Linked DNA regions of Rhinolophus ferrumequinum. The protein of the gene in region 1 interacts with the protein of each later gene in a pairwise test. Links are inferred from orthologs where the notes say so. Each region holds a gene or a part of one and is shown in the gene's direction. Other genes may lie near its edges. The genes, in order: PRKG1 and ZNF646.

Region 1 (12,283 bases):
ACTTGAGCTGCTATGTCTAAAAAGAGAAAAAGTAAATGAGATGACTTATTCTGTATTTCCCCACTTAGATCTTTTGTCAAATAAGGTGTAATGCAAAAGATTTGGGATGCATCCATCTCATGTACCCACCTTTACATTGATGTAAGTAAAGGTTGATTAGGACGATGTGGTTTAGATTTCATACCTATGGTATATGCAAGCCTTGTGCAAGTGCATGCGTGTGCACAAGCACACATAGACACACACACACGTGCACACACACATACACACATGCACCCCTTCGTGTAGATCCCCACAGTAGCAACAGAAGTTTGACATGGTCTGGATATAAGAAGAAGCATAATAGAACTAATCAGACATTTCAAAGATCTTTTTAATATATTTTGTTTTCTGCAGCAAAGTAAAATGTTGTGAATTGGCTTTAACAACTATTAATTACTAGGAGACAGGAGGTCAGATTTTCATGTGAACCAAATCAGGCTTCTATGTGCAGAAATAATAAAATGCCAAGAATACAGGTTTAAGAACACTCTGCTGAGAATTGGGAGACTTGGGTTTTAAACTTGCCTCTGCCTTGGCCGTTAAGTGTCCTTACATTTGAAATGAGGATGTTGAATTATGTAATCTCTATGGTCCATCCTGGCTCAAAATTCTGTGATATCCATTATGAGTAAAGAATAAGGACACATCTGCTTCCCCCCTTCACCCCAGGAGGGGGGAAAAGTAGGGTGTCCAACCATAGCAAATGTTGCTATCAGTTCTTTAATAGTCTACATCTGGGAATACTGGTGAGAGAGGCATTAAAGTAAATTAGTGGAGTGCATGTGGAAATGCTGTGACAGTAGGTAAGTTTCGGTTTTATGACTGCTGAGAGAATGTTACTTGCTGTGTACTGATCGAGGGTCTGACCAGTGGAAATTTTAAAGTGAAAATAGGCAGTTTTCACTAAGTTCTCTATATTCCTAACAATAGCAATTGCTTTTAATATTCCACAAATAAACATTTTGATGATTTCCCTGTCATTTTTCCCCCCGTAAAATTGGTATTCAACATAGAAGCTTCTCTAAGGAAGCTAGATGGTTATAATTTTTGCTGTACTATAATGTATGCAAAACTTCAATGAATTTTTCATAATTCCCTAAATGAACTCAGACCTTTACATAAAAACATTCTTACATAATGCAGTAACTTAGGACAGACATTGAATATTCTGCTTAATACCAAACAATGTAAAAGTCCCTTCTATTTTATATTTGTTTATATGGGGCATTAAAACCATATGATATTTTATCTATGACTGCTTTGGGCAACTTATTTATTATATAGGTGTTTGTACATATAATTTTTAAGTTTAATTCTGAGCCACTAATACTTAAAATATTCTTATGTACCAGATAAATGCTTGTGCTTTGAAAAATGAATTTTTAAAAATCTAGTCTGGACCAGGAAAAAGTTAGTAAATTTTTTTCCAGAAGTGTACATTGGCAAGTGACTGATAATTTAGCCATTGGTTTTAAATGCATAGCAAATATTATATATGCATCTCATAGGTCCCAGCTAAGGCTCTATCATTGTTCCAAGGGTAATGCTTTCATAAACAGCAGGCCCCATATCTTGGCCCTAGAATGACATCCATTTCTTTTACCAGCCTACTGGTCATTTGCCTATAATTAGAGATGGATTTCTAGATTTTGATCTCCTGAGGATTGTATAAAAGTCACAATATCAATAGCTAACTTAATTTGAAGTTAGGTGATATTTGTCCATTAAGTTAGTAAGTGTGAAGATCTATGTGTATTTCCCTACCAAGTCTTTTTGCCTGCAACTTCTTCTCTCCTCCAAGTCTCTGAAATTCTTGCAGTATAAACAAATGTCTTACCATTTTCTCTTGCCCAATTCATTCATCTTGCTTACTGAAAAAAATCCAATTCACTCAAAATTTCATTTTATTGTCCTTCTTACATCCTCAGTACTTTCCCACCTTACTAATTTTAGTAAGGTCACGAGCAAAATGTACTTTCAATTTTGATTATGTAGGAGGAAGATGGCAAGTTATATCAACTATTAAAAGCTATCTAAAATGAAAGCAAAAACAAAGTATCATTGACTCCAAAACTATTCTCCTATTGCCTTCATATCAAATCTATTTTCAAAAGCAAAATTATATTTGCAAATGTTTTTTAATATTTTTGGGAAAATACTAATCCATTAACTTAGGAAATAATGTGCATTTAAATACCAGAAGAATACTGAGTTGGAACTGCGAAACTGTAATTTGTTTATCAGATATGAGGTATTATGATGTTACATACCCATGTATATATTCATTAGGTTTAAGACGCGGTAAGATACCAGAGGGTAAGGGGTGGGGAGTGGTAGAAGGTAAAGGGGGTCAAATATAAGGTTATGGAAGGAGAATTGACTTTGGGTAGTGAACACAATACAGTATAAAGATGATGTATTATAAAAATACACTTGAAACCTATGCAATTTTACTAACCAATGTCACCGCAATAAATTTAATTTAAAAAAGATCGTGAAATAAGGTGACATTAAAAGAATGCAGTAAGATGTTTTGTGAAAAAGCATTTTAAATTCCATTTTATGCATTTAAAATTTGTCCATTCATGAAAACAATACAGAATACCTAATATTTTTCTTCTTAAAAATCTTTTATTTCTTGTGGTCTTTGGAAATGGGCAGCTTACTAACAGTACAAAGAAATAGTCTTTTTGTTAGCTAGTGCACAGATTGTTTGAGCACTAAGTTAGGCTAAGGCCCAATAATGACTTAGCATCGTTTTAAGTTGTGGACTATAAGAATTCATTTCAACTAATATTAGGCATGACGGTAATTTGGTATTAAACTCTAAGCACATTAGCAATTATGGTACAATGCACTATTACTTTCCAAGTCTCTGCAGTAAGTTTTTCATCATTAATGGTTTATGGTTTTTTTTTTCTTTTCCGTACAGAATGTGTCATTCTCAATAGCAGAACTTCAAAACAACCCAACCATAGAATTTTTACTTATATGCATTTAAATATGCATTCCTGATGGCTGACTCTATCGGCCTACACAGGCGTAAGAATTATATAATTCTATAGGAGATAAGTGAATAGGTGCTTATAATGCTGTGCTTAATCCGTAGGAAACCAGTCTTTCTAAACTCCAGATTTCTATAATAACAATAAAAGAAAACAGAGGCTTAAATCCTTGTCTAATTCATCAAAGTGTAATTAAAATTCTATTGTCTGATTCATTCTCCTTTATAGTCCAAAGACAATTTCTGTGGTGTATTAGTAGACGTTGGAATAGGATGATTGCTTTCCTAAAACATATTTATACAATTACATACATGAATTAGTAATGTGCCTAAAATAATAGGTATTATTGCAATGGATCTTCCTTGGTTTTACTTTTCTATCAGTAACTTTGAAAGCAAGATTTGAAAATATGCATAAAATACAGAGGCTCAGCAATCCTGAATTCATTAGGGTGATCAGCCATCCTGGTTTGCCCAGGACCAAGGGATACTTAGCGCTTTAGTTTGAAAATCAGGACAGTCCCAAGCAATTTTAGTATTAAAACTAGGACAATCCCAGACAAATTGATAGAAGTTGGTCATCCTGAACCAGGATGAAATGGCACAGGAGTGAAGACAGTGTTGGGAAAAAGAACTTTTTGAAAATCTGTTTCCTGCTTTTGCAGGATTTTCTAAGTGACTCCTCTTTCCACCTCCCCAGCCCCACAGTCAGGCTAGTTAGTGCTAAGAACACTCATTTCTTTGGATTCAGAACCAAGACAGCAGCAACAGTTGGAAGTTCTGCAGAAGGAAATGAAAGGTGGGGGAAAGGTGGGGGTAAGGGACTGAGCTGTGTATTAAGTGATCTGGATTTGAGTCCAGGCTCTACCATTTATTAGATGGGTGATTTTGCGCCTCCATTTTCTCAAATATAAATGGAAATAATGATAATGTCTAACTTGTAGAGTTCCATGAACAATGTTAGCTATGCATTAAGAGTTCAAGAAAGTATTAAATAACTGCGTTATTTAATATTTTATTCAATAATTCTGAGGTTTATTAAGGAAGGCATAATACTAATCCACATTCATGAGGGTTGGATACAAAATTGAAGAGTAATAATATGCCACAGGTTGGTTTGGCTACTGGAGAAGCTTTGCTTCTATTAGAGCTATTACAAACAGATTGCTGAAAAGTCGATTGTGAGTGGACTATGGAATTCTAGAGTATAAATTGGGTTCCTTCAAATTTGCATTGTTCTCTGTTTTAGCATGTATCATCAAGATGTCATCCCAAATAGGCAGTGAGAGAACTCAGTATATGTCATTCCACTTTACTCCTTTCCAGATTTATGGTAGCTACTTCTTAATGAGTAGAAAATAGACTTGTGCCTGATCTTTGATCTTAAAAATTTAGCCAACTACATTAACTATAAGACATACAGTAAAATTTGTCTGCAGGACCTTGATTTTTCACATAAAATTTATTCTGAGCATTTACCAAGTACAATGCAAAAAATGTTTAAGAAAATATTGGAATCACTCAAAAGGTGAGATGGAAAAATCAAGATCTAATCAGCCAGTTAAGAACATCATTGAAAAACGTACATAAAATATTTATTTCGACTTTAAGAACGTAAGAGGAAAGCCTAGAATTTTGATTTTGCATATATAACTATAAAGTATTTAAAGTATTATAAAGATACAATTAAATTATTCTTAAATTATATAGGCTAATATAACCAAATATATTTTTATACCTTGAACACCTTTCAAAGTGTAAGTCAGTTGTAATAGTTGTATCTTCTTGGTCATTTACTTTGTTTGCACTTATTAAAACAGATTCTTGACTTTTAATATGGGATTCATCGTGGAATATTTTGTATCACAAGACTTCCATTTAAAATGAAAATGTAACATGTACGAGTATATATCCTATAATTGTATCTAGATGTGATAGCTTAAATAGTGAAAAATATTTATATAATTCAGTGTAAAAAAACATCGCTTTTGTTAAAAAATACCCGAATATTTTTTGGTTGAAGTGCAATTTTTTTATGTGGGGGAGGGGGAAATGCTTTAGTTTCTATTTTCCTTTGTACATGTATACAGTCTTTCTACAAATGAGAAAGAATATCCTCTACTTTGTGCTGCTTGAAGACATTAAGTAACCCCATTTAGTCCTCAAATGAAACTTCAAATATAACCCTGCTTAGCAGTTATCTAATGATATTCCTTATACATTGCTTTTGATGTATTTTTAGACATAAACTCTTGGCCTCCTGGAACCCTATAATAGATCAATAGAAAAAAAATCATTTAGTTTTAAACATTTTCCCATGGAATTAAAGAATTCCCATAGGTTAAAAAGATAAGAATTTGGCCTTTTGCCTGGGAAAGGGAAAATATCACAGGAGCTCTTTTAGAATAGTGTCACTTATACAAAGCCACAGAACTTCTGCTTGGTTTAGTTTTAATTAAGACAACAATAATTCAGAGCTATCATTTCCTGCTATCAGTATTTATAAGTTATTCATGTTTTGTTCATCACAAATGAAAATGTTTTGAGAATTATCCACTTTGTATATTACATGTCCATGTTGGAAAGCAGAAAAATTAAGTGTCTTAAGTCATCTGTGTTGAGAAAATTAGATCATAATCTGCATGGAAGAATGTTTAAGATTATATATCCTTTGTCATTTACACCTCTAATTCCAAACAAATACACTTTAAATAAAAAAGCTTGCTACCTTGCCTGTGGCTAGCTGGTCTTCCCTTCCCTTCCCTTCCCTTCCCTTCCCTTCCTTTCCCTTCCCTTCCCTTCCCTTCCCCTTCCTTCCTTCTTCATTCCTTTTTCTTCCTTCCTTCCTTCTGTTCTTCCTTCCTTCTTTCCTTCTTTCCTTTGTTTTTTTCTTTTTCAGCTTAGATAGGAAAGTTTTGTATTCAAAAGTAAAAGTGAGCAAGTTTGTTTTGAGACTAATATACGTCCTTGGCTAAGTTTAGATTCCAGTGAATAGTTCTGGATTCCAATTCAGTTTTAAACTATTGTCTATCTACTTTGTTTAGTTTCAGGGAATTGCCAAATTCAGCATTGAGGTTTATAATACTGAGTGTCCATGAATAGTAATTAGAGGGCTGCTAATAAACATACTATAAAATGGGATGAGTTGGTAAAGATTTAGATAAATATTAGGAATTTAGTTAAGTATAAAGTAAATATTTGGAGATTCTAAACATGTCTTCCAATGATGGCAGAATTACCCTTGGAAAAAAAGGATGCTACCTCATAGTCATCGTTGTTGGAAATTTTGAGTGGGCAGGCATGGAGTGGGGTGCTATAGTGTACGATTTATTGCAGCCCAACTTGGGTCCCCCTTCTCTTTATGATCTTCCCTCTTTTTCAAAGTTTGAGTCTTGCCATTCAAGTGGAAGGGTACAGTCCTAACACTTTGGTTGTCAGGGCAGTAATATTTTTAAAGGTATAGTTCAATTTTAGGATGAACTTTTTGAAGCTCAGTAATGATTCCCCCCCAACCCCCCCACCCCAAATTAAGCAAAGGGAAGTAGCAATGCCCATCTATGAACAATTCTGCAGACACTAGCTCAGGATAGTGGAGAAGCTGAGTAGTCTTTAGGGTCCAAACCCATTTTGGCCTGTACCCTAAAAAGAGTTCATTAACATAAGTTTTGAGGGGTGAGAGGTGAAAGGGGAGTCATGAGCGGGCAGAGAGTGGCAATGCTGAGGGAGAAAAGGTCAAACGTCCCACCCTCCAACCTCCCTTCCCCAAAGGCACCTGGGTGTTAGGGGGAATCCCTCCCAGGCATGGATTGGCTCTTATCTCCTGAGAGGCAAGTTTCTTTGCAGCGTTAGCCACCTGTGTGCTGCACTGCCGGTGGGAAAGGTGGCTTGGGTGAAGGGAGAGCTCAGCCACATCGCTCGGGAGCCTTTCTTGCTGAGGCTGGCGGTCCAAATACCTCCAGAACCCAGAGCGTTTAGGATGCAGAGTGCGTTCTGCCCGCTTAAATCGCCAGGATTGTAGCCCGTTGTCCTCCAGACCGGTCAGCTCTGGAGCCGGCTGACACCTCCCCAGTTTGCACAGGGTCCTGGCTGTCCTTTCTCTCACCTCCCCACCCCCAAAGTGGTGCTCCTGCCTCGCTCCGCCTGCTCGTCCCCTGGCGCGCCCCACAGGGTTATCAGGCTCCCCACACGCACCGCTGGCTTCCTCTGGCGCCCGGCACGAGCGACCCGAGCAGACCAACCACCGCCTGGGAGCCTCATTCACGTCCCCTTCTCCCGCTTCCCTGCCAGCGCGCTGCCTGCTGCTCTCCCCCGCGCTGCGGCGCCCACCGTGTGTCAGGTTTAATCCCGGGTTGGACCTGCTGCTTTGCTCATCCCCACACTCAGCCTCTCCGTCAGCCCCAAGAAGTGGAATCTGCACTGAAACTCTCCGTGGCTGGAGCCGGCGGACTGGGCATGCTCAGAAGCCAGGGCTGGCTTTGGTCTCAAGTAGGAAGCTTTTGCACTCGGGAGGCAGCGGCGACTTTGGGGAAAGTTGATCGGAGAGGGGAGGAAGCCCCAAGACGCGCAGCAGCGGCAGGAAGGAGCCCCCGGCAGCCCGGAGGAGCATGGGCACCCTGCGGGATTTGCAGTACGCGCTCCAGGAGAAGATCGAGGAGCTGAGGCAGCGCGATGCCCTCATCGACGAGCTGGAGCTGGAGTTGGATCAGAAGGACGAACTGATCCAGAAGCTGCAGAACGAGCTGGACAAGTACCGCTCGGTAATCCGGCCCGCCACCCAGCAGGCGCAGAAGCAGAGCGCCAGCACCTTGCAGGGAGAGCCGCGCACCAAGCGGCAGGCGATCTCCGCGGAGCCCACCGCGTTCGACATCCAGGATCTCAGCCATGTGACCCTGCCCTTCTACCCCAAGAGCCCGCAGTAAGCCGGGGTTGCGTGCCGGGGCCATGTGGCACCCTGTTGGTGGGGAGCGGCGGGTGTCTGTGTTGTCTGTCGGCCCCCGCCCCTCCCGCTTGCCTTCTCTGTCCTCATCCTCAGAAATGTTTCATTTCTGGCACCACTTGCGGGGCCGTGCACGTTTCTAGAGCCAGACTCCCTGCACCTACGTTGCCTTCATGTCTTTGTCAGATATCAAGCTATTTTTTAAAAAAAATCTGTACATGTACATTCATATATGCCAACTACTGATTATAGAGTTTGAATGTGCCCCAGGTGTGTGTCCGGCTGTGTGTGTATGAGTGAGTGTGAGAAGCTGAATAAAAAGCCCCATCTCCCAAATGCCTTGGCATAGCTGCCCAGCCGGAAAACCCTCAATGCCGGCTCATCAGACTTGAAATGAAATGCGTCTGATATCATCCTTACTTTCTATGTTTTGGTGGCTCTTCCGGATTTCTCTACATGCTGGCAGTTTACGCTGGTACCCTTCAAACCTGATCTTCTGTCATCATCAAAGTGTCAAAAATAAGCAAATGTGTATATAAGAGGGCAGCTTTTTTGATTTCCTGAATTGGATGGCATTTGCAATCCACAAATGGAAGCTTAGTCTGTTGATTTAAAAAAAAAATTTTTTTTCTTTTTCCATAACATCTGAGGGAGAATATTGCTTATTTTCCTTAAGGAATTTGCATTAGGTTACTCATGGGGCACCTCCTTCTCCAAAGGGGGTTCATGTTTTCAGGTTCAAATATAGAGAAGTACACTTACTTACCTTTATTGACAACGTAGACACACTATTTGCCTTACTCCTTGCTTCTGATGCAACCACCCTAGTATTGTTCTAGCATTTTAGAGAACTACGTAGTTCTGATGTCAGTGGGCTTCACAACTTGGGTGGGGAAAATTGAATGAAACTTGTTATACACCACTCAAGTCAGAGTTCTTATATAAAGTGGTAGGAACGTGAGATTAACATAGAATGAGCACCCACATGGATGGTGTTTTAAATTAACAGATAGTGGCACAATTGGCAAAATGAAGGATTTTGATGCTCTATTCCAAACTACATCACATTGGCTAGATAGCATGTTACATAATCATACAAGGTCCCTTGGAACCCTTCACTTCATAAAAACAAAGAACTAATATAAGGAGAGAGAGAGAGTAAATACTTGATTATATCATTTTGTACTTATTGGATTTGAGAGAGCTTGAGAGTATATACTAATTCCACTTTTGAAAACTTAAAGTTGTACCTATACTTGTTGGTTCCTGAAGAGCATTTGTTGTTCGTCATGCAGGTTTAGCTTAATGAGGGGTTCGTATTTTGTGAGAGAGTGGGGAAAAGACAAGAAGGATAAACATTTCTGAGATTCTGACCTCATCAAGTTGTCTAATAGTTCAGTAGACTTAGATCTGCCTTGGAAACCTGAATGGTTTCTATATTCACTCCAACTTTCTCTGCTAAATTAATTTGCAGTCCTGACATGCTTGCCTGTTTTAGCTAACGAGGTACATGGCCATCTCTCCTGGGCCAAGTTTTGCATAATGAAAAAAATAACTCAAAGACAGCTCTCTGGATCTTTAAGCATTCCACAGGATCTCACTTTAGTAACTGCAGGACTTTGGAGTAACACAGAGCAAACTCTGCTTTTATAAAAAGACCATTTTAATAGGTTTTATAATAAAGTATGATCAAGCCAGCTGATAATTCCAGTTAAATGTTGTATCAGACAAGATCTAAAGGAATCTAGAAAGTAGGGAAGGACCTGAAGTTTTAGAAATCTCTTAGTGCTTGACATGAAGAACAACTAGATTTTTTAAAAAGTCCACAGTGGAAAATGAAATTAGTGTGGCATATAATTCTGTTACAATTAACATTTTATCTGTCGAGCAATTCTCTGCATTCTGATATTTATTTAATAGCTTGTGCTTTAAAGAAGTCAGCTATTAAGGTATCACCATGATGGTTTCGGTAATTCTGAAAGATTATATTGAAGAAAATGATAGAATGTCTTCCAAGCTTAAATAATTTTGGAAAAACATCTGTTCTTTTTTTCACACTTACATAAAGGAAACTAGAATAAAATTGGCTTAAGTGGTAGAGTGTACCGCTCTTAAGAGAAAGAGAAGTGCAAAATTATTATTCTCATGTCACTTGAAGGATTGTGCAAGATAGCGCCACAAAAAATTAGGAAAATTTGCCAGAGAAGCCTCGTTTGCATTTCAATTTATTTTACTATAAAAAATTGATTATATTGGATTGGTGCAAAAGTAATTGTGGTTTTTGCAATTATTTTTAAACTTTTAAACTGCAGTTACTTTTGCACCAACCTCATACAGACACTGTCAACAAGTGTTTGTCATTATATTTCATCTTAGTGCAACTTAAATTTAGTCGTGTTTCTTAAACTTACACTCAGATTATTGGGAGTTCAAGTTAAAATCAAACCATCTAAATAGCATACAATTGATTTCAAATTCATATTAGTTTTCTGTTCTCTTTCCATTAGACGTTTTCTGTTCTCTTTCCAGTTAACATTCTGCTCAATTATCTGATATGTGCAAATATATTTGTTTACTTTTTGCTTGCTGAGGCCTTTTGAGGATGATTATTTTTGAAACTTTTGTTTTTCAGTGATTTTTGGTCATTTGGAAAATAGTGTAAAATGAAAATTAACTTATTAACTTAAATCATCTTAACATTTTTGGTTTGGAATTTTCTCTTTAAGCTGGGAATTAGAGGGAAGTCTCAGTCAGATTACAGGAGATGGCTAGGGACCTTCTGTTGCACCTGTGGGGTGTGAGAATGCTTTCGTCGCTTTTACACCTGTATACAAATAGCACCTAAGCCCTTTTTCGTTGTGAATGTGAGGCAAAGAACTCATGTAGCAAATTGAAATCTGTATTCCACTGATACAAAATAACTCCGTGAGGTGTAAACTATTAGGCTATATGTTTTGAAGTAGATTGAGCAAATAAACCCTTAAAATGTGAAAAAAAATCAATTTTATGAGATCAGATAGCCTTTCAGAGATCATATATATATATACATTTCTTATGAGCTTTTAAAGTAATTTTATTTCATGACATTTCATTCCTGAAAATTGATTTTATTTTTCTTTTAAGAGTGGAACTCTGATATTTTGATCTAAACCCTCTACCTATTGTAAATATTCCTACATCCTTTCCGTTTTGCTGTCACAGGGGCCCATGTCATTTCAGTTTGGCTATACAGATTTGAGTTCCTTATAAAAAGTTGTTTGTGTCTCTGTATTCTTGTTAATCTATTGCTTTTCACCCCAGAGGTAGCTGAATTTCAGGGAATTTTGACATATTTTGTTATGTTTCACTTTTTAATTGTGAAGTACTTTGGAAGAGCTGAGGATGAAGAAATACAGTTTCTTATTTTTAAGGAGGCATTCAGTTTAACAAGATCTTATATGAAGTTTTAAACCTTAACACTAGTACGTCTCAAGAGAAGTGGAATCTTTGTATAGGCTGTATTTAAATTCTGTGGGAAGTTGAGAGAATTCCAGGATTTTAGTGTAAGCATAGATGGCATAATATTAAAACATAGATATCTTCAAAAGCAACAGTTCAGTTTAAAATGCACCCTACAGCTCAGTTCTTTTATGAGATGTCTGCCTTGTGCAGGCTATTGTGAGGCATTAGAGGTGAGAGATATATAGGTGCTACCATCAAGGAGTTAACAAGTGGTTAACAGTACTGCACAAGTAAATATTCTAGAAAGTAGAGTAAGGCAAGTCACAGAGGCGATATCTAAGACGGTTGGCAAAATAGGATTGAGCCCACTTAATTTTGCGGTATCAGAAACTCTTATGGAATTGGAGTTGCTTAAAGTATATACATAATTGAAGGATGGCCATAATTTAATAGTGATGGGATGAGCGGGGTGGGGTAGGGATGGGGAAAGCCATCAGCAAAGGGACAGACAGCAAAAGAAAGCAGAGGGTACATCTGAGGAATGCCAGCAACTAGTGGCTGTCCCAGAACACCACACCATCGTGGGAATTGAGGAAAAGCAAGTTTAGGCCTGAGAGAATGACAATCTTAGTTTCTATTTTATAAAGTAGGTGAGAGGGCATTTCTGCTTGTTTTTGGAATAATCAAGAGTCGTGTGTGTGTGTTTTACTCGGAGAACTAGTTTTTACCCATAAGTAAAGCTCTGAATTTCAGAATATCAGTCCAATCCTCCACCCCTCACCAGCGCAGTACTGATTCATAACCACAGCTATTCCAACTAGGTAAGGGTATTTGATGTAACTAAGCAGCAGGTGATTAAA
Region 2 (12,630 bases), on another chromosome or scaffold:
GCTCAGCGCTGTGTGTGCGGCTGTGCTTGCGCAGCCCAGCCCGGTCTGAGAAACTCTTGCCGCACTGGGTGCAGGGAAAGGGCCGCAGCTCTGGGTGTGAGCGCTCGTGCCGTCGCAGCAACGTCGGCGTGCAGAACAGCTCCTTGCACTCCCGGCACACGAACTGCGGGGGCTTCTCGTCTACCTCCTCAGCCCCCACCTCGCCTGCGCCCCCCAAGGGACCAGGAGCCTCCCCAACGCCAGCATCTTGGCACTCTACATGCTCCACCGTCATGCCCACCACTTGCCACTGGGTGGCCATCACCCCGCCTGATTCTGGGGGCAGCCCCAGCAGCCCTGGTGGAGGGTCCCCTAACCCCGCCCCTGCTGCTGGGGCCTCCGAGCCCTCGCCAGCCACACTGACGGGCAGTGCCAGCCCCACGACCAGCTCCTGTTGTGGGGGGGCCCCTGCGGCCTCGCTACTTCGATGGGTCCGCTCGTGCTTCCTCAGGCTGGACGACACCACAAAGGACTTGCCACAGGCGTTGCAATGGAAGGGGCGCTCCCCGGAGTGCACCCGGCTGTGCTTCGTGAGACTGGCCCTCTCGGCAAACGCTCGCCCGCACTCCTCACAGCGGAAGGGCCGCTGGCCTGAGTGCACCAACGCGTGCCGCTTGAGGTCCCAGGAGGCCACGAACGTCTTGTCACACTGCAGGCATTTAAACGGCCGGTCGCCGGTGTGCACCCGCCGATGCATCGCCAAGTCCGCAGGCTGCCGGAAGTCCTTGCCACACTTCTCGCAACGGTAAGGCTTTACGCCCTCGTGCGCTCGCTGGTGGCGCCGGAAACTTGAGGGGTCCGAGAACATGCGGCCGCAGCGCGGGCACAGGAAGGGCTTCTCGCCGGAGTGAGTGCGCTCGTGGCTCTGGTAGGAGCTGAGCTGCGTGAAGCCCTTGCCACAGGCCGGGCAGCGATAGGGCTTCTGCGCTGCATGGATGCGCTGGTGGCAGGTGAGCGAGGATGAGCGGGAGAAGCTCTTCCCGCACTCTGAGCAGAGAAAGGGCCGCTCACCGGTGTGGGACCTGCGGGAGTGTGGGGAACCCGGCATGAGGGTGGCAGGCCCATCACCCAACCCCTGCTGCCCTCTGTACGCTCAGTTCGGGCCCCCTAACATCCTGGGAGCATTGGCCCAATCCTCTAAGAGCCACAGGGCTGCACCTCAGAGACCCTTCTCAGCACCCCAAAGACCTAGACAGAGCAGGCCCCACTCAGGCCTTCTGGTCTCCCCCAGAGACCCTCTAGGTAGCCCAACTTGAAGCCCCGCCCCTTTTCATGCTGCCTAGGAACTCAGGCCAATCAGACTGCACTCCCATCCTCCAAGGCCCCATCCCACAGCAGGCGGCCCCACGCACCAACCAATCAGGGCCACCAGCTTCTCCCACGTGCTCACCAATCCTGGTTCCACCCCACGCATCTTCCCATTGGCTCATCCCGTTCCTTAAGACCCAACCAGGGGCCCCACTGGTCCCCACAGGGGAGCTGCTGCCGTCCCGCCTCTACCCCGCTGGCCTGCTCTTCCCAGCCCCTTACGGAGCCCTCACCGCTCGTGGTTGCGCAGGTCCTTGAGCTCTGCATAGGCCTTGCCACAGCGCTCGCAGCCATACGGACGCAGGCCGGCGTGTGTGCGCCGGTGCTTGCGGAACACTGACGGGTCGGCAAAGCTCTTGCCGCAGTCGGCGCAGGCGTAGGGCCGCTCGCCGGTGTGGCCGCGTTGGTGGATCTTTAGCTTGGAGAGCGCGCCATAGGCCTTGGGGCAGTGCGTGCAGCGGAACGGCAGCTCGCCAGCGTGCGAGGCCAGGTGCACACGCAGGCACACCGGCTGCATGAAGCGGCGGCCGCACTCGGGGCAAGGGAAGGGCTTCTCACCCGTGTGGCTGCGACCGTGACTACGCAGCTCGGGGGCCGTTTTGTAGGCTTTGGGGCACAGCGGGCACGCATAGGGCCGAGGCTTAGCTGCTGCACCTGACACCTTGTCCCCGCCGGCATCTTCTGCATTGGGTTCTGCCTCTGGCTTCAGCTTCACCTCTGCCGCCTCCTCTGTGCAGTCTACAGGCCCGTGAGTGGCAGCGTGGCGCGCTGCCCTGGGCGCATTTGGAAACGTCTTGGTACAGGACAGGCACTTGTAACGCCGGCCGGAGCGCTTATAGCCGGGGCCTTGGGACCGGGCCTCCACAGCGTCCACCTCCATGGCCTTGATGGGCAAAGCTTCTCTGCGAGAGAAGCAGAGTTAGAAGCACATCCCTCTGCTATTCTCCAAACCACACCCCCTGCTATTCTCCAAGGCCTCTCCCCTCCCCAATGCCCTCTTGAGGCCTGCCAAGGAACCCTGTTTCATTTGCGTGTCCCACTTGGGACCGCCACATCCTTTCTCCTTAACACTTCCTGGCTCTGATGTTCTGCTCAACTTTCCTCTCTAATCTGTTCACTGATGAAGGGAGTCGGAGCCAGTGACTTCAGAGGGGCTAAGGGAGGAGTCTGGGGTCATCAAAACGCCACCTCACTTCCTTCCCCAGCCTCTGAGCTTTTCCACACCTGGTGGCACTGGTTCTATCCATCTCATATCTTCTTTCTTCAAGTCAGCCTGTGCCAGAATGCAGGGCTGCAGACATAGGCTACCCAGCTGTGGGTCTGGTCTGAAGGTCTCCAAGTGCCCAGTGAAGACAGAGGTGGGTCCGGAAGATAGCAGAACCAGTGGGCTAAGGTGGTGATTGGCACCGCCTGTCTGGAAGTGATAGTTCCCCAGCACATGTGTTTTATTTTCCCCTCTGGTTGGTTAGCTTTCAGACACAGCAACTGTCCATGCAGAATTCTGGCCCTGCACAAGTGAGGGACTCCACCCCAGACAGGAATCCCGGTCTGCCTTCTGCTCTGGAATCGCTGTTGGGCTCCTGTTCCCATAGTTCTAGTTCTGACCATGGAAAGTTCAGTTACTCTCAAGGCAGCTTGCTAGCAGTTAGAAGCCTCTGAGTCATAATCAATGTGTCTGATCTAGCCTGGCTCCCGGGACACCCATTTTAGCGGAGGCCCCTTCTTTCCCGGTTCAGAGCCCAGACACCCTCCACACAGCTGTTCCTGGGGATCATGGCTGGAAGGAAATAGGATTAACAGCTGCATTAGTCCTAACACCGGCTCATCCTCCCTGGAGGATGAAGGGAAGAGGATTACGGCAGATCCACTTAAGGAGCTGGGCAGCTTTGCTGCTGGGGGTGGCCTGGGGGGGGGGGTTGAGGCTTTGCCACAGAGAAGGGGAGTGGGGAGCCTGGTGTGCCCAGAGCCGAGGCTGGGAGGTAGGAAGCCTGAGATCCCTCCTCTATTCTAAGACTGTTTCCTTATCTGTACGCCCCAGGGATGGGTGGCTTCTAAGTTATGACCCCGGGAGGACAGGGAAGCCCCTGGGGTGAGTGGCAGGGGCTGCATCTTTAGAGTCAGCACCCTCGGCCTGGAGCCTGCCTCAGTCCCCCACCCCGACACACACAATCCACAGAACAGAGGGCCAGGCAGGCTAGGCCCCTGCCTCAAATCCCACCATTAGCTCCTCGCTTCACACCTGACTGAGGACGTGTCCACCCAATTCTCCACATCAGGTCTGGGCACCCCCTATATGAAAATAACAATCTGGGGAGTGAGGGGCACAACTCAAAATCTGTACCGTGGACATGCTCTGTGTCACTCCAACCAACACTCAGCATTTAAGAACGAAAGACACGCCCATACATCGTCACAGCTTCTAGGCGAGAAGCGTTCTTACTATACCTTGTTTTCAGGTGTGGAGATTAAGCCCCCATAAGGGGGACAACATGCACAAGGGCACACAGCTGGTCAAGGAGCCCAGACTTAAACCCACATCTTCAGATCTCTGGCTGGGCTCTTTGTCTACGAGTCTTCATTTACTTAAGGCTTACCAGCCAAATCATGACACTTTCCACTGCTCCTACGACAAAGACCAATATCTTTTTCATGGTCAACAAGGCCCTGAACCACCTAACTCCTGCCCATTTCACTTCCCACCCCTCTTCCCTGGCTCCTAGGCTCCCTTTCTTTTCCTCTGAGAGCTAAATTCCTTCCCACTTCAAGGTCTTTGCACTAGCACTTACCTCCACCGGAACCACTATCCCCAAGGATATCTGTGCAGCTGTCTCCTTGATTTCACTCTCAGCTCCCTGTCACCTCAGAGGGCGTTCCTGAACACCTTTCTTAATGCCATCTGCACCCCTGCTGATCACTCTCTATACCCCCCACCCCTTGAATTTCCTTTACGGTGCTCATTTGGACAACATTCCTTGCAAGTTTACCACGGGCCGGTATCATCCTAAGAATTTTACGTGTACCGCTTAAGCTAAGCCTCATAACTGCCTAGAAATGTGTTATGGGCTGAATGTGTGTGTGCAAGAAGGAAAGGACACGTGAGGACATAGCGAGAAGGTGGCCTTGTGTAAGCCAGGAAGAGAGCTCTCACCAGGAACTGAATTGGCCAGCATCTTGATCTTGGACTTCCCAACCTCCAGGACTGTGAGAAATACATTTCTGGTGTTTAAGCCCCCCAGTCTGTGGTTTTTGTTTTGATAGCCTGAACAGACTCAATTAAACGGCATCATTTCCCCCATGTTACCGACAAGGGTACTGAGGCCCACACAAACGAAATATCTAGTCACAGTCACAGGCAGGAGAGTCAGAGTCAGGCGGTCTGCCCCCCAGACTCCCACTCTCTGCCCCCTGATTATTGCTTCGGTAGCACTTACCCATTTTACAGCTTGGTTGTTAATTCTCTGTTTCCAGCACAACAGTCTAGGCTGGTGAGGAGTCCGTAACCTTTATTATTCTGGATCCCCTACCCCTAGAACTGTTACTGGCGCCCCCAAAACAAACCCAGGCCTGGAGCTACAGTAGGCATTTGTGAGAACGTCCATCAACAACTATTAACTGAATTTCTCTGCCTGTCCAAGTTCCCAAGTCCAAATAGCACCCCATTTTCCACACTGGGTTCGTCACTCTAGTGAGGGAGGTGTGCGCTTCACTACTGGCTCAGGACTGGGATGAAGTCCTGGTACCCAAACAGGCTCTAAATCTAGGGATGCAGAGATTTAATTCCCGGAGAGTTTAGGCTCGGGCCCTGCGAACAGGGGTGAGGTGAAAAGGGAGCCACTTTTTATCCTCTCTGCACCTTAGTCTCCCTACATCTAAACAAGCAGTCACCCACAGGCTTCACAGCCCTTGACAGATTTGGAAGGGTGGATGGGGAACTGTGAACCGCGCAAAGGTTAGAGCCAATCATCTCCTAAGCCTCCACCCTGGTCAGTAAACAACCTACTTTTCCAGCCTAGGCTCCAGCAGCAATGTCCCCCTCCCAAGCCTCCCGCCACAATTCTCAAACTTCCCCACCTAAATGCATCTCCACAGGCAGTGAGTGCCCTCTTCCTCGGAAGCCATTGTTTGCCTTCTCCCCCAAGGGAAAACTCTTTTGCATCCTTCAAATGCCTGTTTCCCCAGTGCCCTCAGGAATACTTAACAGGCAGCAGAAGTAAGGGCGCCACGGCGCTCTGAGCCTCGGTTTTCCCATCAATAAATTGGGGCCTCTGGGGTACGTGGGAGTTTGAAGAGCGTTATGGCATCCGAGAAGCGCCGAGGAAAGGCTGAGAGCTGCAGAAAACCTGCGCTTCTCGCTCCCTGCAACCTTCTCTCTGTCGGCGCTCCCGCCAGACAGCCTAGCAGGGCAGGGCCCTGGGCTGACTCATCTCGTAATAAGCCCTGGGAAAAAGTGGCCTCGGAGAACGTGGCAAGGAGGAAACGAAGAATGAGAGAATGAACAAATGAATGGACCGAGGCCCGGCGCTGGACAAAGGCCTGCAAATGGCGTTCTCTAGGACCGCGGGAGGGGCGACGAGGACCTCGACCGGGGAGGGGGGTCGCAGGCGCCGGGGCCCTACCTAAGCGGGCCCCGCGCCTAAGACAAAAGCCTGCAACATGGTGGGCTCTAGGACCCCCGAGCCCGCACAGCTCAAGGCGGGCAGCCGCGCGGGCCGAGCCCAGGCATCCGCAGCAGCCCTCCGGTGGGGACAGCCGGCGGGTTCTAGGACCCGCTGGGCCCGGAGCCCGCCCGCTCCCTCCCTGGGCCGCACCACTCCCGCCCCGCCCGCGCTGCTCGCGCCAGGCCAACACCATTCGCCCTCGGCGCCCACAGGGAAACTGAGGTCCGATCGGATTGCGTGCTGGGGTCCCCGCGGCTTCCCGCAGCGTTTCCTACCTGAACCGACTTGGGCTGGCTCCTTGGCGTCAGTGGCAGCTCCGCTCAGCGACGGAGCCCGGGACACTAGCAGGGAGGGGCAGGCGCTAGGACCCAGCGGGTGGGGGAGGCGGGGCCGGGGGACGGAAGTGGAAGGGAGCTCCCCCCGCTGGGGAGGAAGGCAAAGTTTACCAGCGCATCCCCGGCCGAAGGTGGCGGAGAAACACCTTGCAAGGGGTCGCTGTGGGGACTCAGGCCAGGGGACGCCGAAAAGGCTTCCTAGTGACACAGGGCTACTGCTAGCTTGGGGCCAGATCACCAAGAACTAGAAGGTGGGAATACAGAAAGGCCATGCTCAAGCACTGCAGTTCCTAAATCCTCTTATATTTCACATTTCCCTTCACAGCAAGGAGTGCGTGCGTGAAGCTCCCTCCATCTGTCTTGAGAAGATTTTCAGGGAGCCCCACGAAAAGTGTCGCCAAAGTCCTAAGGCTGCGGCTGCAGAACCCTGTTTTTGTTGTCCTCTTCCGAACTCGGTCACTTTGCACCGGAACGGCTTGAGCCCCTCTGGCCGGAAATGTGGCTGAGGTTAGTGCGAAACGACGCCGCGCTGTGACCTACGTGGGCGGGGCCAGAGTCGCATTGTAGCTACTACTTGCTTAGCGCCGGAAGTGTGTCTGTGTAGCAGGGCTGCTTGGAGGCGGGTCCGGAAGTGTTCTCCAGACCGAGGTTTCGCGGGGAAGCTTTTGCGGCTAGGACACTTCCTGTTTCCTAGTAACAATAGGAAGTATCCGCGGAGCTGGGGTTAGACCCCTGGCTCGGATCAGCTGCGCCCTCTCTGCTCTGCCTCCTTCCTTATTCCCCTTCTCCTTTCCCTCTTTCCCTCCCCTCCCACCTCCTGGGAGCTCTGGCGGAGGGTGCGTGTGTGGGAGCGCGAGAACTCCCCACGGCCACCCCGTGGGGCGCGCGGCTGCAGTTAGAGTGAGGGTCCCAGTGCGCAGGCGCGCTCCCGTTCGCGGTCCCCAACGGACGCACCCGCGGCGGGAACGAGGAGGGGCCACTCGTGCCAGGTAGGGGTCCCAAGAGGAAGTTGGCCCGGGAGATGAATGAGGCGAGAGGACCTCGGTGGTCGATCAGGAGACAGGACTCTTGAGCGAAGGGGCTTTGTGTGGTGAGAACTGGGGGAGCAGGTTCCGTGAGGGGCTTAGCGAGGGGCTTCGTCGGAGGGAGGAGTTGTGTTTGGGTCCAAGGGGAGTGAAGAAGCAGAGGCAGAGATAGCGCGGGGCGTGCTGTGGGGAGGGCAAGGGCTTGGGAGAGACGATTGCCTGAATCAGTGGGTTTGCTCCTGTGTAAACGGGGACCTCCCGCTTTGCGGTGTGTTTTGAGGATTAAGTGACAATGAATAGTCTCCGATTCGCACAGCGCCGGGCACACGGTGGTGCCCAGCTAACATGCGTTGCTGTCATCCTCAGTATTAGAAGAAAAAAATGACAAGGGGTGGTGACGGTATCGTGAGGAGGTGTGGGAAAGAAAAAAGGGGTGAAGGACACCAGAAATGGGATTGAATTTTCCATGATGGAATAGAGTTTGGGTTCAGGGGAAGTAGGTGGAGGAAGTGGCCAAGAGAGTCTTTTGAAAAGGAGACCTTGTGACCCTGAAAGAATCACATGCGGATGTGGGGGAACAAGCCAGCCCCTTCTCTGAAGGGGGCCCCTGACGTCACCTCTCAGGTCACCTGGAGAAAGAGGCTGCTTTGTCAACGCCTCGAGGCTACTCTGTTTAGCTGAGGGGTGAAGAAGGGAGGATTGGACATCTCTTACTGAAAGTCCTGGAAAAGGTTCGGGTTTCCTGTTAAGACGACACAGAAGATAGGTTGGTTGGTTGTAGAGAGGAGAGGGTTGGGGCAGGAAGACTTTCTGGATTTGGTCTGAAGAACAGCTTAAGAGGTTTGTGATCAGAGATAGGGTACATCTCTCTAGACTTAAGTTTCCTTTTCTATACCTGTGGGGATGAGGTAGGCCTAGGGAGCTTGTGTGCAGGGAGGTCTTACCTGATGGTGCTTCCAGATTAGTCCATAGAAAGCCGGTCCCTGGGCATCGCTGCTTGGGGAACCTCTCTGTGACCGCTGGTGAACTTGCTTACAGAGCCAAAGGGCAAAGTTGATTCAGGCCTCTCTTCTGACCACTGCCCCATCTTCCTAGGCCTTGGCCCCAACACCGGAGGAAGATGCCGCTGCCACCTGCCTGGTCCTCCTAAACCTCCAGGTTTCTGTCGCACTGCCCCATGGAGGACGCGCCCACCTCACTCAGCTGCTGTGACTGTCAGCGCCACTTCCCTAGCCTCCCGGAACTGTCACGGCACCGAGAACTACTCCATCCATCCTCCAACCAGGACAGTGAGGAGGCTGACAGCATCCCTCGGCCCTACCGCTGTCAGCAGTGTGGGCGGGGCTACCGCCACCCAGGGAGCCTGGTCAACCACCGCCGGACCCACGAGACTGGCCTTTTCCCCTGTACCACCTGTGGCAAGGACTTCACCAATCCCATGGCCCTCAAGAGCCACATGAGGACTCATGCTCCTGAGGGCCGCCGCAGGCGCAGACCCCCCCGCCCCAAGGAAGCCACTCAACACCTTCAGGGGGAGACAGTATCCACTGACTCCTGGGGCCAGAGGCTTGGCCATGGGGAAAGCTGGGGAAACCAGAAAAAACACACCGAAGAGACATCTATCTGTGCATCTGAGCCTGACCCTAAGGCAGCTCTGGGCACTTGGGAAGATCCACACACCAGACAAAGGGAAGGCTGGGAAAGCCAGCCACATTCTGAGGAGGGTGCAGAGGGCTGGGGGCCCACCACCAACTCTGCCAGAGCCCCACCGCTCCCTACTCCGGCCAGCAGCCTCCTTAGCAATTTGGAACAGTATTTAGCTGAGTCAATGGTGAATTTCACGGGGGGTCAGGAGCCACCCCAGTCCCTTCCTGCTGAGGAGGAACGGCGGTACAAGTGCAGTCAATGCGGCAAGACGTACAAGCATGCCGGGAGCCTCACCAACCACCGCCAGAGCCACACTGTCGGCATCTACCCTTGTGCCATCTGCTTCAAGGAGTTCTCTAACCTCATGGCTCTGAAGAACCACTCGCGACTCCATGCCCAGTACCGGCCTTACCAGTGTCCTCACTGCCCCCGTGCCTTCCGGCTCCCCCGAGAGCTGCTGGAACACCAGCAGTCCCATGAGGGTGAGAGGCAGGAGCGGCTGTGGGAAGAGAAAGGGGTACCCACCACCAACGGGCACACAGATGAGAGCAGCCAGGACCAGCTCCCTAGTGCCCCGATGTTGAATGGCGCTGAGGAGCTCAGCGTTTCTGGGGACCTGGAGGACAGTGGCCTGGAGGAGTATCGACCTTTCCGCTGCGGGGACTGTGGCCGTACTTACCGCCATGCCGGGAGCCTCATCAACCATCGCAAGAGCCACCAGACAGGTGTCTACCCCTGCTCCATCTGTTCCAAGCAGCTGTTCAACGCAGCCGCTCTCAAAAACCATGTGCGGGCTCATCACAGACCCCGGCAAGGAGCTGGCGAGGATGGGCCATCAGTGCTACCAGCTTCCCTGCCCCCGGCCGAGACCACCCATAAAGAGACAGAGGTCCCCAGCCCCACCCTGGACCATCGCCCCTACAAGTGTAATGAATGTGGTCGGGCTTATCGCCACCGCGGGAGCCTCGTGAACCACCGCCACAGCCATCAGACAGGAGAGTACCAGTGCTCGCTCTGTCCCCGCAAGTATCCCAACCTGATGGCCCTGCGCAACCACGTGCGAGTCCATTGCAAGTCTGCACGCCTCAGCACTGGCTCAGGGGCCGAAGGTCCCCCCAGCCACCTCAAGGGGGAGGTTCCCGCTGACCAGGGGGGAGCAAAGGCAGCCCCATGTACAGATCAGGGCGATGGGTGCAAACACGAAGAGGAGTCCACGGAGGGCCCCCCAGCAGCAAATAGGACAGCACCACAGATATGTAGCATGGGCAGGGTGCTCTTTGAAGACCTTGAGAACCTTGAACGGCATGGCCAAACCCTCGGAGAAGGGAAAAGCAGCAGGACAGAGACCAGGCTGTCACCTCCCCGGGCATTTGCCTGCCGAGACTGTGGAAAGAGCTATCGCCACTCAGGCAGCCTCATCAACCACAGGCAGACCCACCAGACGGGGGACTTCAGCTGTGCTGCCTGCGCCAAGCACTTCCACACCATGGCTGCCATGAAGAACCATTTGCGTCGCCACAGTCGGCGGCGGGGCAGGCAGCTGCGGGGCCAGGCCGACAGTGCCGGCAGTGACGGAGGCGCCACGCTCCCTGGGAACTGGGAGCTGGCGGGAGACAGTGAGGGCCTGGACTGTCCCCAGGACCTGCCAGGGAAAAGTCCTCATGGAGCTGAGGGCAGCTTGGAAAGCGAGGGGGACTCTTTGCAGGCTCAAGCTGCAAGGGACAGGTGTGGGCTGGAGAGGGACGAGGCCTGTTTCCAGGGTGATAAGGAGAGCAGAGGCCCTAAGGAAGGGCTGGAGAGGAAGGAGGCCTGTTTCCTTGACAGCTTGGACATCCCAGGTGACGAGGAAAGCGGTGGGCCTCGCTTCTGTGATGGCCTCCCGGGGGCGGGTGAAGACCAGAAGCTGGCCCCTGGCCAGCCCAGCTGCTCTGCCCACTCTGCCAGAGCTGTCACTGGCTGTCAGGCTGAGGTGGCCCACACGTGTTCTGACTGTGGGCACTCTTTCCCCCACGCCACCGGCCTGCTGAGCCACAGGCCCTGCCACCCGCCCGGCATCTACCAGTGCTCCCTCTGTCCCAAGGAGTTTGACTCCCTGCCCGCCCTGCGCAGCCACTTCCAGAACCACGGGCCCGGGGAGGTGGCCCCAGCACAGCCTTTCCTCTGCTGCCTCTGCGGCATGATCTTCCCCGGGCGGGCAGGCTACAGGCTCCACAGGCGCCAGGCTCATGGCTCCTCCGGCATGACTGAGGGGGAGGAGGAGGAGGGCGACGAGGAAGGGGCGGCCGCCGCCCCCTCCACGCCCAGCGCCCCGCTGCAGCTCTCAGAAGCAGAGCTGTTGAACCAGCTGCAGCGGGAGGTGGAGGCGCTGGACGGAGCCGGGTACGGGCACATCTGTGGCTGCTGCGGTCAGACTTACGATGACCTGGGGAGCCTGGAGCGTCACCACCGCAGTCAGAGTTCCGGGAACACCACGGACAGAGCTGCCAGCCCCGTGGGAGAGACCAGTGATGCCAGGCAGATGGTCACGGATGGCTTCTCTGAGGGCACCGGGACGTCCGTCTCCGCAGAGGGTGGGGACACAACGTCTGCCGAGGGTGTCGGTGCCCCGTCTGCAAGCCGCCTCTGCGCCCACGGTGGGGAAGGTGCCCTGGAGGCGCAGCCCCGCCCCTTCCGCTGCAACCAGTGCGGCAAGACCTACCGCCACGGAGGGAGCCTGGTGAACCATCGCAAGACCCACCAGACCGGCGACTACGGCTGCGCGGTGTGCGCCCGCCGCTACCCCAACCTGGCCGCCTACCGCAACCACCTGCGCAACCACCCGCTGTGCAAAGGCTCCGAGCCCCGGGTGGGGCCCGGCCCCGTCCCTGTCCCCTTCCCCGAGGCGGGAGGCGGCAGGGAGCCCCAGGACTCCTCCGAGGAGGCGGCGCCGGCAGAAGTGGGGAAGCCCCGGGAGGCACTCAAAGTGGAGTCCCCGGAGGAGGCGGCGTGGGCGGAGACCGCTGTGAAGAAGGAGCACCTGGGGCTGAAGTTGGAGGCCGCCGACCCGGGCTGCGAGCGGCCGTTCAGCTGCGAGGTGTGCGGCCGCTCCTACAAGCACGCCGGCAGCCTCAGCAATCACCGGCAGAGCCGCCACGCCGCCCACTTCTGCTGCCGGGCCTGCTCCAAGGGCTTCTCGAGCCTCGTGTCCCTCAAGAGCCACCGGTGCGTCCGCGTCCATGCAGACCCTCGGCGTTTCCGCTGCAGCTACTGTGGGAAGGCCTTCCGCCTGCGGAAGCAGCTGGCGAGCCACCAGCGGGTCCACGCCGAGCCGGGTGGGGTCGGGGGCGCCCAGAGAGGGACGCGGGGGGAGCGGCCCTTCCGCTGTGTGCAGTGTGGGCGGACCTACCGCCATGCGGGCAGCCTCCTGAACCACCGGTGCAGCCGGGACACGGGCCGCGACGGCTGTCCCGCTCGCCCCAGCACCTGCTCCAACCGCGTTGCCTTGCGGGACCACCAGAGGCTGCACGCGGCCAGCCAGCGGCGGCGAGCAGGGCGGTCCCGGCGGGCAGCTGTGCCCGGCGCCCGCTGCGGCCGGGGCTTCCCTGGCCAGAGCGGCCCGGAGCACCTGCGGCAGCATGA

What was found.
Region 2: the proteins of PRKG1 (region 1) and ZNF646 interact in binary tests that used the Homo sapiens proteins (3 or more experiments, as listed by UniProt). The two-hybrid records come from large-scale screens. The link is inferred for Rhinolophus ferrumequinum from reciprocal best matches to the Homo sapiens genes PRKG1 and ZNF646.

Annotation. Positions count from the first base shown.
Region 1 is NC_046299.1:34,128,024-34,140,306, forward strand, and holds the start of PRKG1 (cGMP-dependent protein kinase 1), read left to right. Parts: upstream 1-7,213; 5' UTR 7,214-7,650; coding exon 7,651-7,961; intron 7,962-12,283. UniProt on the Homo sapiens protein: Serine/threonine protein kinase that acts as a key mediator of the nitric oxide (NO)/cGMP signaling pathway. GMP binding activates PRKG1, which phosphorylates serines and threonines on many cellular proteins.
Region 2 is NW_022680357.1:305,292-317,921, reverse strand, and holds the start of ZNF646 (zinc finger protein 646), read left to right. Parts: upstream 1-6,710; 5' UTR 6,711-6,847; intron 6,848-7,039; exon of another isoform or gene 7,040-7,329; intron 7,330-8,460; 5' UTR 8,461-8,542; coding exon 8,543-12,630. Other genes in the region: ZNF668 (zinc finger protein 668), read right to left, coding at 1-1,061, 1,581-2,249, 2,572-2,594. UniProt on the Homo sapiens protein: May be involved in transcriptional regulation.